4 linked regions of the Schizosaccharomyces pombe genome follow. The protein of the gene in region 1 interacts with the protein of each later gene in a pairwise test. Each region holds a gene or a part of one and is shown in the gene's direction. Other genes may lie near its edges.

Region 1 (5,237 bases):
GAAATGGTGTTTACGTCGCAAATACTCCAAACGGACCTACAGAGGGAACAGCAAATATGAATTTAATGCTCTTTATGTGTACACTCCGTGGAGCTCGAGAGGCAGAACAAAGTCTTCGCCTTGGCAAATGGCGTCAAAACTTATCGCTGACGGACGATCCATATGGAAAACGAGTGGGCATTATTGGGATGGGCGCAATTGGCAAATCTTTTGCTCAAAAAATTCTTCCTCTAGGTTGTGAAATTGTATATCATAATAGAAATCGCCTGGAGGCAGAGGAAGAGAAAAGACTAGGTGCGTCTTTTGTTTCTTTCGATGAACTGCTAAGCTCTAGTGATGTAATTAGCATTAATTGCCCTCTTACCCCAGCAACTCACGATTTAATATCCACGAAGGAATTTGAAAAAATGAAGGATGGAGTTTATATTATTAACACAGCTCGTGGTGCAATAATTAATGAAGATGCCTTTATCAAGGCTATAAAATCTGGCAAAGTTGCTCGTGCAGGTCTCGACGTGTTTTTGAATGAACCTACTCCCAATAAATTTTGGTTGGAATGCGATAAAGTAACCATCCAACCACATTGTGGTGTATATACCAATTTTACGGTTGCTAAAACAGAGGAATGTGTTTTAGCAAGTATTGAAACATTTCTTGATACAGGAATCCCCACCAATCCAGTCAACGGTCCGTTCGGCATGAATGGTTGTTGATGCAAGTCAAAAGTCCTTTACATCTACACAAGTAAAGTATATGTTAATAAAAAATATTCATTTTTATGTTGTTGCTTTTTGTGAGCACGTATCTGTAAAGAATACATATGAGAGATTCTGTCATTTTGAATGCTGCTTTTTGGGTCAGCCTGTTCAAACTTACATAGTTGAAAAGATTATCACATCCTTATTTTTTAAAGCTAACTATTTATTATTCACTTGTTAAGATGCTCCTCCTCTCAGGGAAAAGTAAAAGTAGAAGTTCATTTTCCAAAATGGGACTTTACAGAAAAATTGAATATCTGATTCCATTTCAAGGATTTGGAAGATATTTATCTTTGCGTGCGTATACTAGACATGCTCGCATAATTTTATAGTAGGATGCTAGCAACGGTGATTAAATTGGCAAGTCGAATTATCTTAGATCTAAGGCTAAAATCATAAACTGCTATAATCTTTTAGATATCAGGCTACTACAAACTGCTGTTGCCAATTTAAAATGGTATGGTACATGAATCGATCCTTCGATAAATGTCTATCTAAGTGTTCGTATTAGTCAGAATATTTTGGTTCCGAACTGATATCCTCCCGCGTGTGCATAAAATATTCCATTTCATTCAATATCAATTCATAAACTAGTCATTAGATGAAGAAAATATTTCTAGTTCGTATTATTTATATAAGCATACGTAGAACCATAAAGTCAGGCAGACTAGTTCCTAGTTTTGGCTTGAGTAAGTTCAATTTCACTTCGACGAAACTGGCGTTTATCAACGTACAAATTTAATTCTTTCCTCAATTTAAGAAAAATGCCTCTTTTTTTTAACTTCGTAATATCTATACGGTAAAGACATGTTTAAAATGGTATAATCTAATGAGCTATGTAGTTTTCATCTTATCAACTGCAGCTAAAGATGGGTTGCTTCAATATCGTGTTTGATTATCTGCAAAATGTCCGACATCTTTCATATTGATTACTATTAAACTTTTTTTTTTTTTTCAACCAGAATAGTATCGACTGGTTACCCTTTATCAAACTTGTGTGACTAGGTTGAGTTATCAATATGGACCATTCGTAAAGCCCACAGCAAAACTCATTCGCAACTAGTCTGTGTTTAATATATACAGCAATTGACAAGATTAAGCATAAATATATAACTAAAAAAGACTCACATTTTTAAATGAAAAGGATCAGAAATGCTTGTGAATTGTGCAGGCGTAAGAAGCTAAGATGCAATGGTGAATTAACTTGCCAAAATTGTATGGTATATGGCGAAGAGTGTCGTTATGTTAAGCGGGTTAAACATGACAATCGAGCAGCAGTACAAGAAAACGAAAGGTATCCTATACTCTACACTCCGCTCAGCACTTCAGATCATGATAACGACGAAGAGAATGAAATCAATGAGTTGAAAAATGCTGTTAAAGCTTTGGATAAACGTTTTGATAATTTCGAATTAAAGCTAGAGGCTCTTTTCTCTTTATTAAGATCTCAGCAGGACTCAGAGAGGAAAGTGAAACCCGGGGGTTTTCCATCTTTGGTTTCACAGATTTTGAGTGCAGGGGCTCTCGTGGATTCAAAATTGCAGGCATACACTATGAGAACCAATTTTTTTTCTAATGGATTTAGCAGCAACGATTTATTCCCCCATAGCTTTCCTACTTGGAAAAGTGCCTTTCGAGATGTTCCAGACAAAGATTGGGCTAAAACATGCTTGGATTGGTATTTCAGATTTATCAATTGTAATTGGCCTATATTTTATAAGAAACAGTACATGGAAAGCTTTGAAAAGTTATATATAGACAAGAATTTGGTCAAGGGTGCCTGGATTGTCTCGTTCTATGCTATTTTGGCTTTGGCTGTATCTCGAGACAAAAGAGTCGATAATAGTAAATTGGCGGAGTCTTTTTTTGCTACTTCCTGGTTTCTAATTCAAAGACCTGGCTTTTTTCTCACACCGCAACTCGAAAAAATTCAAGCATTAGTGATCATGATTCAGTTCGCAAGTCATCTGTCGTTGTACAATCTCTGCAAAAAACTTTGCGGTCAAGTTTGTTTGATGGTTAAGGATTTAAATTTACACAAAGAAAGTACAGACAAAGATCTTGACCAAGATATGGCAGAATTGCATAGACGAATATTTTGGGTATGCTACATTTTTGAAACTACCACATCCTTGATTTTCGGAACCCCTCCCGTTTTGGGAGATCTGGAAATTGAGTGCAAATACCCTGACATTAATTATGCTCATTGTTTTGCTGAAAACGTCCAAGGAGATTTAATATTTACATGTGAAATATCGTTAACCGTTTTGAAACACGAAATAAGGACTAAGCTCTACAATAGTAATAATGTTTTTTTAGACAAAGGTCAAAAGGGTGTGATATCTAACATTCAAACAAAGATATTGAATTTTGAAAGAGCCATTCCTTCTGAAATGAAGCATTATTTTGAGATACTTAAGGCAGGTAACGGGCTGCCCGAAGAACTGGATATTATTAAGCAACATTTTTTTACAGCTTGCGTGGAAATATATCTGTCATATTGCAATACACTTATTTATTTATATCTCGCGGACGATAGCATTGAAGGATCAAAAATTTGTTTAAGCACGGCTAGAGCAGCTATTGACGTTATTAAGGGATTTTTGGTGGTTCTTGATCCTATTTCAAAAAATATTTGTTATCTTTGGCTGTTTCTTTATTGTCCGTTTACACCTTTTTTGACGGTTTTTTCACATCTTTTGGAAGACGACGACTTGGACGCTGATATATGCGTCAAGGACGTTGATCGGTTATACTCTATTCATGCTTTTTTTTTAAAAATGAAAGATATCAGTGGAGAATTTGCTGAGAGGTTATCAGTTATTACTGAGAATTTTATTCAATCGGCTGAGCAATATCTTGCGCTGCAAAATACAAGTGTGTTTGGGACATTTGATGCCTTGAGCGAAAGTTTTTCAATTTAATATTTATATACTAATAATTTAAAGGCTTAAATATGTCCTTTTATTTGAATGCTTACTGTATCGTGTTCTTATCGCTTACTGTTTTCAAAGCGCATGCTTGATATATATATGGCAAGTTAATTTACTTTGACGACAAGTATCGGAAAATATTTATGTCGTGAGGATTCTATGTACAATATAATGGTTTTAATCAATATATATTATCACTTTAACATTTTTTGATCGATTCATTCACCGGGCAATATTATCTCAACAATTTCTAATCTGACGGTTTGCGGGTTTTCCAATTTAGCGAGAACATGAAATAACTTATAGCTCATATGTTATGTTATAATTAGCCAACGACTTCGTAAATTTGAAAAATTAATGCTTACTTAGACTGGTTGTCCTATACGCCCAGGTCATCACTTTTTAGAATTTTCTAGTACTTTTAATATATTGGTTGTTTTCGGTTATTGATAAACAGTTCTTGAGCTGGCTTGAGTCTGCGATGCTATCATTCATGATCAATAATACTGTAAACAACCATTTTTAATATTCATTGTGGACCACAACATGGGAATGATTTTTATTATTATAGTAAACTAGCTACTGGTAAATTATTAAAGAGAAGTCGAAAATATTACAACCAATTGACCGAATCTTCGTTAAGGACATGCATAGTTTAAGACACTCATCATCTTATTTAGTGTTGTCAATACAGTGGATTTCAATAGACAGGATAATCAGTATAATAAGTAAATATCGATAGAAGAACCGATGCTATTTGTTGGACGTTACAGAAATTCATTTGTAGGTTCATAGTGACAAAAATTATATGTCAAATACTTTAAGAACTTATAGGTCTTCGTCAAACGGGTATTAAACCATCATCATTCTGGCTAGTGATGCTTAAGAAATCAGGAATAATTCTACCTCAGCATTGTACAAACGAAAATGCTTACATGTCTATTAACATACCCAATTGATATTTCCCACTTAAATCAACAAACGGGTATACAATTTGATACAAAAATTAGACTAATAGAACTAGGAATAGTGTACGTGACCTGTTCTTTTATAATTAAGAAAAAAACACAAGTTCCAATTTATTAATTAACTAAAGAAGGTAATAGGGGATCTAGTAAAGAGGTTTACAATATACTAATAACTTGACTAAAAGAATTGACTAATTATTATTCCTTCATCAATGCACACCGGTAAAAAACAGTAAAAAAACAAAAAAATCAATAGAAAATTAAATAGAATAACGAAATTCGGGATTTTCAAAGTCGGTCAAATCCTTTTTGTCTTCCTCACTCAATTCATTTGATAAATATTCGTTTTTTTCATCCCTTCTGCGATTCTCTCGCACATTAACGGCATAAATAGCAATAATAATAAATATAGCAACGCAATAACAAACGACAAATGATACTTTAGCTCCTTGGTATTTTGGAGCTTGTGTAGACCTAAATGTTTGGGGGCCGACCATATTTCCAACGCAATATCCAATCATGGAAACAGCGCTCATAAAAACTTTTTTGGTGTGGCCTGCGCTATTAGACGAAATGCA
Region 2 (2,868 bases), on another chromosome or scaffold:
AGGTATGGGTTACGAACGAATATTATACTTGCTACAGTACATAATAATAAAGATATTTTTTTATAGTCTAAAATGAAAATATTCTTGGACGTCGACGTCGCCGTGGACAGATACTAGGAGCCGACATAATAAATAAGGTGTGAACTTCATTGATAGTAGGAGTAAATATACAGCAACTAAAGTTGAGAAATAACTTGATCCAAAGCATTGCTACATTTAAGAGCTCCGCGTAATGCATTATGAGCAGCAATGGTCGTAGAAACTACCATACCAGAACCGTCCTTTTTTTCTTTAGCTATTTGCAACACACAACTACCTCGTGAGTACTGGTTTGTGATAGATAATGGCTTTCCAAATTCTAAATGTTTAGCCAATTCATTAGCATGTAGACAAGCATCCGTAAGCTGAACCAAGGTTGTCCTATCTGTAGATTCTGGAAAACAAAGCACCTCCTCTAAGTTTTGATCAGCAACGTATAAAACAGTTTTTTCCTTTCTTCATTTTTCATTAGTATGGTTGTAATTTACTTTACTGAGAACTTACGATGCTAACTCGGACAATTGCTGTGAAACTGACATTTTCGACTCGATTTATTTACTTTTGATGCCTCGCACTATTTTTCTTACTGAATTAGGCCAAAATTCTTCTTCCAACAAATTAAAAAACAAAACAAAACAAAACGACTGTCTGTGCGGTAAGCTGAGGGTTTCTGATGTATCGCAAAGATTGCGTCTAATACTCCTCTGTTCAAGTTACGTGTACTGCGCACATATGGTTATGGTACTGACAGGGTGATATTACGAACTGCTGTAAGTCCTTAAAACTACATAAAGAGAGTATGCTATGCCTCGTTATATATACGAGCAAAGTTTTTGACGGTTTCATTAAAATCACTTATATTATATTATTTCTGCCAGCATCCTTTTGTTACGTTTGGTCGACCCGTGATTAGAGATAAACCCAATTGTTAAAAATATACATAAAACCTCTGTAATAGAATATTTATTATATTTGGCGATCCCGGTGCATAAATTCCCACTGCATACAATGATATGCCGATTATATAATAGAACAAGTTAACAAAACGATATTTGGTCCTTTCATATATCCTCATATGGAATTGCACTAACTTGCGTAGTAAATAGCTGTGGATATTTACACTGAAAGTACGAGTTGTATTGACTGTGGAATTTCTAGTATTTAATGTCAAAACAAAGTTGAGTGCAAGGATAGGTAGGAGGCATTATTGCGGAATTTTGATTATAAACACGTTCAAAAAACCCCTGGAGCCATGTCAGTTACAAATGCCAATAAACTTCGTTCTTCCGCATTCCTGTCAACGAACATTTGGCAGTCCACACGGAAACGAAAAAGCAGTCCAATTTTTTATGAACAAATTAGCAGGTAGTTTTAAGAAATTAAAGAAATAGAGAATGACTACAAACTGATAATTATTAAGCGGACAACGTGGAGTTCTCATGGTACATCGTAGCCTAAAAACTAAGGATGTTACTTGAAAGCTCACTGCTACTTTAAGGTAGATGCTTTAACAATATGCCTACTCTCATTCCACCGCAACAGTGCTATCGGTTTAATAAAAAAACCAAATTGAAAGCAATCTTTGCGCCATAAATCTATAAAAATGTCTATGTTTGGAATCGGAAAGAATAATCAGACCATTAATCCTCAGAACATTGCTATGGCTGAGCAAGAGGTTGAGATGATGTCTGATATCTTTAATAGGTATGCTTAATAGAGAAGCTAAGGATTGATATTTACAGCCGTCTATTTTTACGTTTCAAAATTCATCGTGAATTTAAGTATTCGAAGGGTTGTCAAAAAGTTACAAAGTCTCAGTACATACCTTGAAAGTAGTGCTGTACTCGTTTAAGTCAATTGTACTGCATACCTAGCTTTTTTAAAAACTATGGTACTTTGGTAGACTAATTTTTGGCAACGTAATATTATTCCAATTTTACATAAGTATTTGTTTACTTCTTTAATACATTTACATTGTTTTATCTTATGAAAAGACCAATCCGACGAATTTCTAAAAATTTTTCTACAAAAGTCGCTAACATTCCTTTCTAGACTTGTAATGACCTGTCATAAAAAGTGCATATCTCCTAAATACTATGAAGCCGATTTAACGAAAGGAGAAAGCGTGTGTATTGACCGTTGTGTATCGAAATACTTTGAAGCAAATCAGAGTCTTTCACAGCACATGCAAAAGCGTGGTCAAGAAAATCCAACACCATGAGCCCTTTGATTATCAACACATCTACCATTGTAGTATAAAATGGGTCATGTCCGATCCTATGTTACGGATGGAATGCTTTAAAAATTTCTCTACGACTTTTGGGATTCTCATTATACAATAAATAAAATTAATTTATAGTATTATTTTGAATAATGGAATGAAACCTGTGCGCACATCCGTGATATGGTGGTTCATACAGAAATAATTTCGTTCTTTTTTATTTGATGTCGTGTTAAACCATTTACGATACTCTATAATCTATGGAATGATCAACTTCTCTCTTCTTTTTCAAACGAAGCAATACTAATTATTAACTCTTTCATGACACTCTTTCTATCGTATTTCAAACGAAAGTTCCACCAAGCCCTCAAGTTTTCCCATCTGTAATTGTTGCTATTATTATTAATCACCCGTTCTCAAACTGAAACCTTTTACTATTCAACCCATGATTTAGCAGTCATTTGTTTTAGCCGAAAATTACTCATTACGCTATCGTTTTCTAGACTCTAGGAGATGTAAATAACTTATGTTTTAGGAAATAGTGTCCCGCTATTAGCCCCCACGGAAGCTGTCGTTTTTGTGAACTTCTTGGAAGAGATGCCTCATGC
Region 3 (5,905 bases), on another chromosome or scaffold:
GTCAATCGATAACTCCTTCACATGTTTTTTGAGAAAATAGCTAAAACTTTGCAATTGTGCCTCAGTGCTATATTCAAAGCATTTTTGTATCAGAAAGTTTCCGAACTTATTTTTCATTAATGTAACAGAAAACGGAAGAATAGTGTTAATGAGATTAATATTATCCTCAATATCCTCATTCTTAAGTTGCTGTTGCAGAGATAGTGAGGCTGCCTGATCATTTTGAAAGATAATTTGCTCTATCATAGCCTAAAAAAAGAATCATTAGCGAAAGGGAATTTCAATTACATTATGAAGCTTAAATTTGAAGAAAGACTTACCTTCCATTTGCTTATGGTTGCGCTGTACTGTAAAGTCTCTTTGCCAGAATGCACAGAGTTTTTTTCAAACGGCTCGGTTGTTCCATTAGGAAATTCATAAAATAGATTTTTATTTGTTGACTCTCCTGGATCCAAAATTTCATTACCCTTGCTTGCAAATGACATTGAGAACGGCGAAATAAAAGAATAACCGAGATCTATCGGGTCGATTGTTTCATTTTTACTCCATAAAGGAAACTGATCGGTATCATTTAATTTTTTAGGAACCACATTGTCTTTTGCGTCATCCAAGGATTTTGGATGAGTCGAAAAACAATTGTTGGTGCCATTGCTGTTTGTAAAAATTCCAGAAGACAAAGAGCAATTATTTTTGCTAACGGGAAATGTGTCCTTGTTTTTTAGATTACAATTTGTAAGATAGGGAGAAGGCTTTACGCAGGAAGAAGTGGTTGACGAAGTCAGATTTACTTCATTAGATAGCTCTACAGACAAAGTCTCAGGAAGTAACTTAAGCGCTGGCGTTCGTCGAAGAGTTAGGAAACTTTTTGGATTCATCTCATAAATCCTTTCTAATTCTCTTATTTGATCCTTCTTCTTCTGGACCTCTAGAGTAGATGACTCAATCTTTTTTTGCTGCTCCGAAACGAGAGTTTGGAGATAAAGAATTTGAGTAATCAATTTTTTAACATAGTTTACATCATTTGGTGTTTTTGGGAGTTCTAAAGACATTCCAAAGTCAATGGGTCTTTCCTCGTCTCTCTGCATACTTTGGGTATGCTCTTTTAAAAGGCAGAAAAATCAAACAGTAAAACCTAAATGCAAAACTAAATTAATTAAAAAGACTTACTGAGATCAAAAGAGAATTATCCAACTTCCCTTGCCTGGACAAAAAATATGCTTTGGGCGAATTCTGATTAAGGGATTGGAACTTTTGTTTACACTTTTTAAGTAAACAAACCACCAACATTCTTCACGTTCCCTTGCATACAACGAGCCAATACTTCCTTTGATAGTTTTCATAATATATTGATAAATTGATTTAGAATAATATGTATATACTTAACTTTTCCTTTTGTATGCAGCCTTCTTAGATATAAAAACTCAAGTTAGACTTTACTTCAAGAATGATTCATACAATTGAAAGTAATTTACTAAAAAAACATTTAATTTGTGTTTTATATTATCGGTTCCATTACTTTTAGATCTTTAATATCACGTCCCGACAAGAATTACTATCAGATTCACCTTAATAGAGTACGAGTTTCTTTGAATCGTAAACTTTCTAAAATTATGTTGAGGTATATTTACAGATAATCCATAAACCATGCATGCCGAAACTGTTATAAAAAAAAAAGCTAATAAGTTATAAGTTAATATTCTCGTCCATAACTTTAAATAGTACTATAAAAAGGTTAATACATTAATGGGTAAATTTAAATACGCTATTTGCATTAGCACGCTTCACCATATTTTGTAATCTGAGAATGATATACACACAATACATAACCTATTAGATGTATCACATACGAATAACTTCCTTACGAGCAACGCTGCCTTGTCCCATAGACTTCTCTTTAAAAGAAAGAGTTTCCTTTTATTGAAAAAGGATACTGATGCATTGAAAATATCCCAGTACTAATATATCGGGTGTTTTCTATTATCCTTAGTTTTTTGAGACTCTCACGATTACAATTTTGTTTTGTAGTCTGCGTGTGTGTGTTTAAAAAGTAAATATTTTATCATTGTGTACAATATTTTGTTTTAAAAGATATTTTTGAGAAAAGAAAACTTTGGTTTTGACAGTATCGGTTAGATAATTTATCATACTTGACTATAGCTAGATTTGTTTAGCTTTACATTATCCTAAACTCAGAAAAGAGAAGAAAATGGATTTAGTGGAATTGGATTACTTAAGTGCATTAGAAGATTTAACGTTTAACAGTAAACCTATCATCCATACTCTTACTTATATCGCGCAGGAGAATGAGCCTTATGCTATTAGCATCGTGAACGCCATTGAAAAACATATCCAAAAAGTATGATTTAACCTTGATTGAAACATATGTGCTAACTCTTATTTACAGTGCCCACCTAACTGTAAACTTCCAGCGCTTTACCTTTTAGATTCTATTTCTAAGAATTTAGGAGCTCCTTATACTTATTTTTTTGGCCTTCATCTTTTTTCGACATTTATGAGTGCATACACCGTAGTAGAACCCCGTCTGCGCTTAAAACTGGATCAATTATTAGCTACTTGGAAACAACGTCCACCGAATTCAAGTTCTTTGGAGCCCGTATTTTCCCCCATAGTTACAGCAAAAATTGAAAACGCATTACTAAAATACAAATCAACAATTTTGAGACATCAGAGCCCTTTACTTGCTAATACTTCAATTTCATCATTTTCTGCTCCTATTGACGCTAATATTAACTCCTACTCCTCATTTTCCGATCCGGCATCTTCGTACAAACCGTCTTTACCTTCTGTTCCATTTGGCTTTCAGCATATTTCGGGCACCAGTCCTTCTCCTGGATTTATTACACTGGACTCTCTTTTATCTGATGTTAACCGAATGATTGTTACAGAACAAGCTAGATTTATTAAAAATCCTTATGACAACATGGCTAAAAAGCGGTTTGAAATACTATTACAACTCAAAAATGTGCTGTCTTCTTCCGCACTACCTTATGACCAATTGCTGGCTATAAAAAACCAGCTGGCACAATTAGAGAAGCCGGCTTCTCCTTCAACGAGTTCTGTTGCTACGTCTGCTCCCTCCGTGCCTTCTGCATTATCATCTATTTCTTCGACTCCTTTTATGAAACCTTCTATTCCATCTACCATTCCTACAATTCCTTCTGCGTATTCGGCTTCTGTATCTTCGCAACCTCCACTCACTCATTCATATGTCCATCCAGGTCCTCAAAGTCACAAGTATTCGTTATCTTCAGGGCCGCCGGCATCCTTATACAACGCGAACGCGTTAACGCCTGAAGAATCGTCTAGTATAGATTCTCTTTTTGCTAATCTGCAAGCTGCAGGGTTGGTTCCGCCATCTGCTGGTGGTAAGTCTCAAGGTCCACAAGCTTCTTGTACTGAAGCTGTGTCTCTAACAGCAGACATTGACCTTTCTAAATCTTCGCTCGCTACTCCTCGGCCCAAGCTATCTTCTTTGTTATATGAGAATTATTCTAACCAATGCGCAAACTGTGGTAGGCGTTATGGAAATGATCCTGAAAGTAGAAAGGAGTTGGACAAACATTCAGATTGGCATTTTCGGATCAATAAGAGAATTCGTGAAAGTAGCCTTCATGGGATTAATCGCTGTTGGTTTGTGATGGAGGAAGAATGGGTCAATAGCAAAGAAGAGGAAGATTTAATTACAGAGACTGCTCAGGAAATCGAAGAACAGCGTCAAAAGCAAATGGAATCCGTTAGGTCACAATATGTATTGACACCCTTAGATCCAATTGCTGCGTCCGAGCCTTGTCCAATATGTCAAGAAAAATTCCAAAGTGTTTGGCATGAGGAAGCTGAAGTTTGGGTCTTTATGAATGCAGTCGAAGAGGAAGGCCGTATATTTCATGCGACTTGTTTGCAAGAAGTACGCCCGTCAGAAAACAAACATTCAAACACAAATACTAGTACACAAAATTTAGCGGAAGCAGCTGTTTCGTCTAATATTAAAAATGCTACGGGTGACGCTTCGAAGGACTCTCAACCTGATGTTCAAAATTTGTTACAAGGCATTGATATTCAAAGTATCCTTCAAGCACTTGGTAAACGCAAAGAGAGAGACGATTCAATGGATTCAATGTCTTCTAAAGTTATTAAACAAGAAAGCAAGTGAGTTTTGTTTTAACCTCATTTTTCTCGAGCTTTCGGATTTTAGCAATAAATTTGAATCATGTACATACAAAAAATATTTCTATATAATCAGCTAAAATATGAGTTTTACATACTGCTTATAGTAGTATAGCAAACTAAACAGTTTACCGAAAACTTTTGGGTTCAGAATATTCTATATTTATATCCTACGAACACTAGGCAAAAATATCTAAGTAATTGAAAAAGAAAGGGGCCCTTCAGCTCTAACCTAAAAAAAATACTTACTCAGCCTTCTCAAGAATAGCAACGATCTGCTCCCAAACTTGCTCAGGTTTTTGAGCAGCATCAACAGCAGCCCATTTACCCTTCTTTTTGTAAAACTCAACGACAGGAGTAGTTTGTTCGTGATAAGTGACCAAACGCTTGCGCAAAGCATCGGCGTTATCATCGGAACGTTGGATAAGAGGCTCGCCAGTAACATCGTCTTTCATAGGAACTTTAGGAGGATTAAATTCCAAGTGGTAGCTACGGCCAGATCCGGGATGGACGAGACGACCAGTGATACGTCTGACCAAAAGTTCATCATCAACTTGTAACTCAAGGACAGTATTCAAGTCAAGTTTGAGTTCATCAAGAAGAGCGGTAAGCTTTTCAGCTTGGACGACAGTACGGGGGAAACCGTCCAGGATGAAGCCGTTCTTGCACTCAGGATTGTTGAGGATCTCATCCTTGATCATACCAGTGACAATGTCATCGCTGACAAGACCACCCTGATCCATGATCTTCTTAGCTTCTTTACCGAGCTCAGTTTGACGAGCTACTTGAGAGCGCAACATGTCACCAGTAGCAAGATGGGCGATGCCATATTTCTTCTGAATGTTGGGGGCCTGAGTGCCTTTTCCAGCACCTGGAGGTCCAACTAAAATAAGTCTCATGCCAGCCATATTTGATCAAATTGGGTATCTATGCAAAAAAAAAACGAGATTCCACAACAAAGCGGTATTTGGTAGTAGTCTAAAATCGGACTGAGAAGTAAAAGAAGACCACCTAATTTTTATAATAGCGAACTTTAACAAGTCGTTATATTATTGTTGGTGCTAAACCAAACTCAATAAACAGAGCAGAAGCCTGGGGTAAATAGAACAATAAATTTATATTATTTTTATCTATAACCAAATGCTAATAAAGGTTTTCTACGTAGCTCCAAAAGCACGAAGCAATGCAATTAATGATTTTAAGCATAAATGTAAATTCGTATCACTCTCACAATTAGTCTTAGGCAAAAGTAGTGACAGAGTATAGTAACTAAACTAAAAATAAAACTCTGATCCAAACCACGAACGAGAAGCCGGATTCGGTTTCTTTTTCTGTGTAAAGTTCAAAGTAGGAGTATCGTCATCTTCGTGCCAATCTATTTCAATCGAAGACTGTGATTTGGAAGGTAATTCTAGTAAATCCTTAGCGGTTTTCCATGAATATCTAACTATGTCTCCCTTCCATCCGAAAATTTTATCGACATTTACTTTTAACCACTCGGTAGTTCGAGCGTCAGAAGAATATCCAGAACCCCAGTTCTCAGTTCGAATACTTTCACGAGCGCATTCCAGTTGAATATCTCTAGTAACTTTAGCACAGATAGAAGCTAAACTCACGATGGGAAAAAGGGAATCTGCTTTTTTAGTGACAGTGACTTTCGCTTGAGGAAAATGAGCTTGTAATTTTTCCTGGTATGATATTGGAGGTCCTACTGTATCCA
Region 4 (5,200 bases), 3.4 Mb from region 1:
ACGTTTAGCAGAGTTAACAAAATCGTTAAAAGCGCCTTTTCGAGTTCGAATACCGGTTCTAGTAAAATCGGTTTTCAAAGCTCCTGTACCAGAATAAGAAAGACTAATGTAATCTGCATTATCAGACCAAATGTTGCAAAAAATGTTATCAAGAGGAATGACGGAACGAAGGGGATGGGTAGCACCTATAATTCCGCATTTACGAAGTTGATTCGTAAGCACCCAGCGACCTATACAGCTTTGGACCACATTGGTTCTATCAAGACAATCCATGCAGTTGGAGCGTACAACGCCATTCTGACGAGATAAAACACGGTACTTTTGAGTGTCTAATGTAGTGTAGCCTTGCTCTTCTAACTCGGGTTGTATTTCATTTAAAAGGAGTGAAACCCGGTCCCACCTCATATGGCTACATTCTTTATGAAAGTCAAAATAATGATAATGGATATGGGGATTATCCAAACGACGTATAACATTTTCATATAACTGTTTAATAGGAAGCTCATGTCCTTTACAGTTGACCAAATTAACTACAACCTGGTCACCGTATATGGATATTTGCTCGTCGAAATGCTTTTTTGCAGCGGCTGCAGCCATTGAAGCAGAATTTGCAACCATCAATGGTTTATAGCGAAGATTATTAACCTCTGCCCAAAAAGCAGGAACACTACCGCGGGTCTGAACATGTGAATAAGTGACCTCTGACTTTTCGTCTGAAACGATAGTAATCTGCTCAGTTTCATTGAAGTTGGCGGGGTTTCCATTCTCGTCTAAACCTCTGGTAAAATATCTAGTACCGGCGCGTTGTTTAGAGCGTCGAGATATTAATGCTAACGTGATTGTTCGTCCCTTAACAATAGTGGAAGCAGAAGTGATGAAGCCGTAAATCATTGGCGTAATGAAAAGTGATACTTCAGAATGGGCACCGATAAGATCAATGAAATCTTTACTAGCAAACTCGTTCCAAAAAAATCGTTTATCACTTCGAAGAATAGGTGAGGCCTTTCCCTCATCCGTACAAGAACGTTGTAGGGAGTTAGTAAGGTCCCATGTGTACGAGAAGTAAAAAGGTCCTGTTTTCAAATGATTTTGTAACAAATTGTATAAATCCAATTCATCTTGATCGTCAGCTAGTAGGTTACGATAGGGAATAACTTCAAATTTATGAACACGATATATTTTATGTCCCAAAATTTGGGCTGCACTAGATTTTTCTGTAGCTAAAATAAGATATTTATCTTTTTTCAGCTTGATTGAACCAAACAATGTGACACTATTTTCTTTGCTGCGGGCAACTGGTTTCAACTCGTCCGGCTCAAAACTAACTGCACCACTTTCTCGGTCAATTGTTAAACAACAATCTTCTCGACGAAGCTTAAATTGCTTCTCGTTTGCTTCAAACTGAACCATGAAGAAATTTTCTAAAGTTTTTGTAGGATAGATACCAAGATCTGTGAAGTTGATGGTTGGTAGACGGCAGACAACGAACCTGCTTACTGCTGTACTGTAACATACGGTTTTCTATGCTAAGTCATGTGGTATTATCGTAGATAGAATAAATGACATTTTCACTATGATTTATCAATTACTAAATTTGCTAGTAAGTATCCATCCTCAATAAAATATTATACTACAATGATCATATTGAAGGTCGCTGAATTATTCCTAGGGTATCTGGTGTTTGTTTAAATATTGAGAATAAATATCTCATTGACATCTTAAAATGTAAAATAATTAACATGAATACTTTCAAAACTTAATTGCCGTACACATAACTGCTAACGCACTTTCACCTAAATATGGTAGATGCTCTTGGTCATGTTGTGCTAGCCTTGTAAATACAAATTTCTTCCACTACCATTTACCAACGGAGTTCCAAAGGACACTCTGAAGAGTGCTTTAGAAGAATAATACATATTTGTAATATTAATAGTAGATACTTTGATTATTCTTCACGTTGAAATCACTATACTACTGTGATCTTCGTTTTGTGGTTGAATCCTGAGGATTCACTCGTTCATCAAAATTTTCATTTTTGAAAAAAAGAGCGAAAACATAGTTGATTTATTCCATTGAAACCTTTTAAATTTTTTCTTTTATATTTTTTTCAAAAAAAGGATTACAATTATCTAGCTAATAGCCGACTTTGGCGATATTTTGGGTTTGATTTGGGAAATTGACTTTGGTGCAAAAAAATAATTTTTTCCATACATACTTCTGATTAGTTTCCTGTTCGTTCTTTCTTTTATTTAAATTTAATTAGCAACATGGATATTCATCGTTGTCGCTTTATCGACTATACCCCTTCAGCTATTACTGCAATGGCATTTTCCCATAAAAGCGGTCAGAATGATTCTATGCCTAACAATTTACTACTCGCTGTTGGACGTGCTAGCGGAAACATTGAAATATGGAACCCTCGAAACGATTGGTGCTTAAAAACTGTGTTATACGGTGGTGTAGATCGCAGTATTGAAGGGATTGTTTGGAGTACCGGTGAAGAGGAGCTACGATTATTCAGTATAGGATTTTCAACTACTATTACTGAATGGAATTTACATACTGGAAAACCATTGGTAAACCAAGACTCTAATGCAGGAGCTATTTGGTCAATCGCTATATGCGATGAAACTAAAACTCTAGCTGTTGGATGTGATGATGGAAGTTGCGTTCTATTTGACATTAGTGGTGGCCCAGGTGTCATCGAATTTAAACGAGTTTTGATGCGCCAAACGTCTCGTATCCTTTCGCTCGACTTTCAAACAAAAGATCATCTTGTTGGTGGTTGCGCTGACGGTGTTATCAAAGTTTGGGATCTTAGCACTCCAAATTCCGCTATAATTTCTAGAATGCAAGTAGATCGTGCTCGAAAAGGAGAAGCTGCTTTAATTTGGGCCGTGAAAAGTTTACGGGATGGCACTATCGTAAGTGCCGATTCATCAGGTGCTGTTAAATTTTGGAATGGAAAATTCTTTACATTAAGCCAATCGTTCAAACTACATTTGGCTGATGCTTTGTGTTTGGGTGTTTCTGCTAACGGAGATATGGTATTTTCTTCAGGGATTGACAGGAAAACTATTCAGTACTCACGCGAAGGAGGTAAAAGAGAATGGGTCAGCAACAGTTTTAGAAGGTTCCATTCTCATGATGTTCGATGTATGGCCGTTTTTGAATGTAAAAGTTTGGATGTTCTTATTAGCGGTGGTATGGATATGATGCTTGCGGTAATTCCTGTTCGACAATTTAATCGCAAGAATCACAGGATGATATCTGCCGTTCCTCAACGCCCTCGCATGGCGGTCGCACCGAAAGCAAGGCTTTTTATGTTATGGAATGATCATGAAGTACTTCTCTGGAGAATTGGGTCTCCTGGCTATAGGTTTTTATTAAAAATTGTGTTGGCTGACGAAGAAAATATTTCACATGCAGCAATTTCTCCTGATGGGGAATTAATTGCAATTTCTTCCGTTTTGAGGACGAAGCTTTATCAATTACAGTATAGCGATGAAAATGTGAAAGTTGAAACAGTTGAGGACTCCTTCCTTTCAAATATTGGTGCTAGCCTGCTTAGTTTTACTGTAGATAAGAACAAGCTTATCCTTGTTAGTAACGATTCCGAGATATTTCTCATTGAATTAAGTCGACTGGATTCTCGTCAGCTAGAAGTTTTCGAGTTATCACAACCCACTAGCAAGAAAATTGCTCCTCGTCAGCGAAGCAATGTAAGCAGCATGTGTGATGGTATTTGCAGTATAGCGGTATCTTCGGATGGAGATTATTTTGCTGTTGCGGACACAGTTGGAAATATTTTCTGCTACTCCTTGTCAAATTTAACATATTCAGAGTTACCACGAGTTAACACTTATGTTCGTGCAATGGCTTTTCGTCCAGATGTACGAGGCCGTTTAGCTGTTGCTACGGCGGGAAATCAAGTTTATGAGTTTGATGTTCAATCCCGTAAATTATCTGAATGGTCAAAAAACAATTCTACAAATATGCCCAAAGAATTTTCGCAACTTCTAGATAAGGCATTCGGAGCATTTTTCGACTCTAAACATCCGAGTCGATTCTGGATTTGGTCAGCCAACTGGGTTTCATTTTTCGATCTTAATCTTCAATTACCAGCGCCTCGCGCTGCCGGAAAACGTAAAATTGAAATGAATGCAACAGTTGACGGGAATCTGAATGACAAAAAATTGGCGAATGCTAATTCGAACGGCATTTCAAATTATGGAACAGGGGATTCTAGGTGTTTCTGGATTACTCACAAATATCGACCAATGCTACTTGTAGGCTCTGTAGGAAACTCTGAATTGCTGGTAGTCGAACGACCAATCGCCGATATGTTGATGAGTAAATCAATGCCAGCAAGCTTTTATGAGCACAAATTTGGCTCGTAAATATGTATTATGTATGAAGATGGAGGAGTTTCTTCGTACTAAAAAAAACGAAGAGGTTTTAATATGTCATTTTACGTAAAAAAAATGTCTGGAATAGGGTGGTATTATTATGATTTTGTACAAAAAGGTCTTTTATTATAGGAGTTTATTTTATTTTTATTTTTTCCGATAAAAAGCATAGATTAGTTGCTAGTTAGTTTATCAATAAAACATTTCAAGGTGACACACCCATCCACAATATGATTATGGCAATGTAGCTGTGAATTTCCAAAGTCTGAGTTGTTTATTCCCATTATCGATTGGAGCATTATGCCTGTAATATGGTTTCACTTGATTCTAGGCAGATAGGCGTACAATTTTACGAACCCAAATTTTTTGATTAATAGACTTAACACGGCGAACTAAAATTTAACCGAACGCTATTTTTGTTACACCACATAATTAGAAAATTACTCGCATGAGGATAATTAAAAATACTCTGGTAAAATTAAAATTATTGTAGAAGACAGCTTGTATTTAAAGAGTAGCAATTACCATCTACAACTTATAAAGAAAACATATTCAAAGTAACAGAATCTTACAAAGGATATATATGCAAATGAAACGAAGAAAGCTCATACATGAACCCGTCTACGTTTCTAAACTTGATTACATTTGATATATTCAAAATAAAATAAAGAAGTGAAATAAGTGATTGACGTAAAAAATTATTTTCTTGCCGATGAGATTATACATTCGTTTGTTTATTGAAATTTGTTCACAACTTAGATAAATCTGTTTAGTAGTACCAGTTTTATGTA

The links.
Region 2: the proteins of SPOM_SPBC1773.16C (region 1) and tim10 interact in a two-hybrid assay, tested with the Schizosaccharomyces pombe proteins (one large-scale study listed by BioGRID).
Region 3: the proteins of SPOM_SPBC1773.16C (region 1) and pcf11 interact in a two-hybrid assay, tested with the Schizosaccharomyces pombe proteins (one large-scale study listed by BioGRID).
Region 4: the proteins of SPOM_SPBC1773.16C (region 1) and utp4 interact in a two-hybrid assay, tested with the Schizosaccharomyces pombe proteins (one large-scale study listed by BioGRID).

What each region holds. Positions count from the first base shown.
Region 1 is NC_003423.3:317,138-322,374, reverse strand, and holds SPOM_SPBC1773.16C (transcription factor), read left to right. Parts: upstream 1-1,809; 5' UTR 1,810-1,894; coding exon 1,895-3,682; 3' UTR 3,683-4,681; downstream 4,682-5,237. Other genes in the region: gor2 (glyoxylate reductase), read left to right, coding at 1-713; dal52 (dipeptide transmembrane transporter), read right to left, coding at 4,920-5,237.
Region 2 is NC_003424.3:947,356-950,223, reverse strand, and holds tim10 (Tim9-Tim10 complex subunit Tim10), read left to right. Parts: upstream 1-1,571; 5' UTR 1,572-1,642; coding exon 1,643-1,743; intron 1,744-2,091; coding exon 2,092-2,260; 3' UTR 2,261-2,348; downstream 2,349-2,868. Other genes in the region: Ragulator complex subunit Lam3, read right to left, coding at 177-495, 544-578. UniProt on the Schizosaccharomyces pombe protein: Mitochondrial intermembrane chaperone that participates in the import and insertion of multi-pass transmembrane proteins into the mitochondrial inner membrane.
Region 3 is NC_003424.3:2,255,123-2,261,027, reverse strand, and holds pcf11 (cleavage and polyadenylation specificity factor), read left to right. Parts: upstream 1-1,841; 5' UTR 1,842-2,206; coding exon 2,207-2,356; intron 2,357-2,404; coding exon 2,405-4,171; 3' UTR 4,172-4,430; coding exon of another isoform or gene 4,431-5,093; 3' UTR 5,094-5,351; downstream 5,352-5,905. Other genes in the region: mpf1 (meiotic PUF family protein 1), read right to left, coding at 1-249, 321-1,085; adenylate kinase Adk1, read right to left, coding at 4,431-5,093; ribonuclease H2 complex subunit Rnh201, read right to left, coding at 5,460-5,905.
Region 4 is NC_003423.3:3,702,942-3,708,141, reverse strand, and holds utp4 (U3 snoRNP protein Utp4), read left to right. Parts: upstream 1-1,856; 5' UTR 1,857-2,267; coding exon 2,268-4,400; 3' UTR 4,401-4,686; downstream 4,687-5,200. Other genes in the region: sac11 (inositol polyphosphate phosphatase), read right to left, coding at 1-1,410. UniProt on the Schizosaccharomyces pombe protein: Involved in nucleolar processing of pre-18S ribosomal RNA. Required for optimal pre-ribosomal RNA transcription by RNA polymerase I together with a subset of U3 proteins required for transcription (t-UTPs).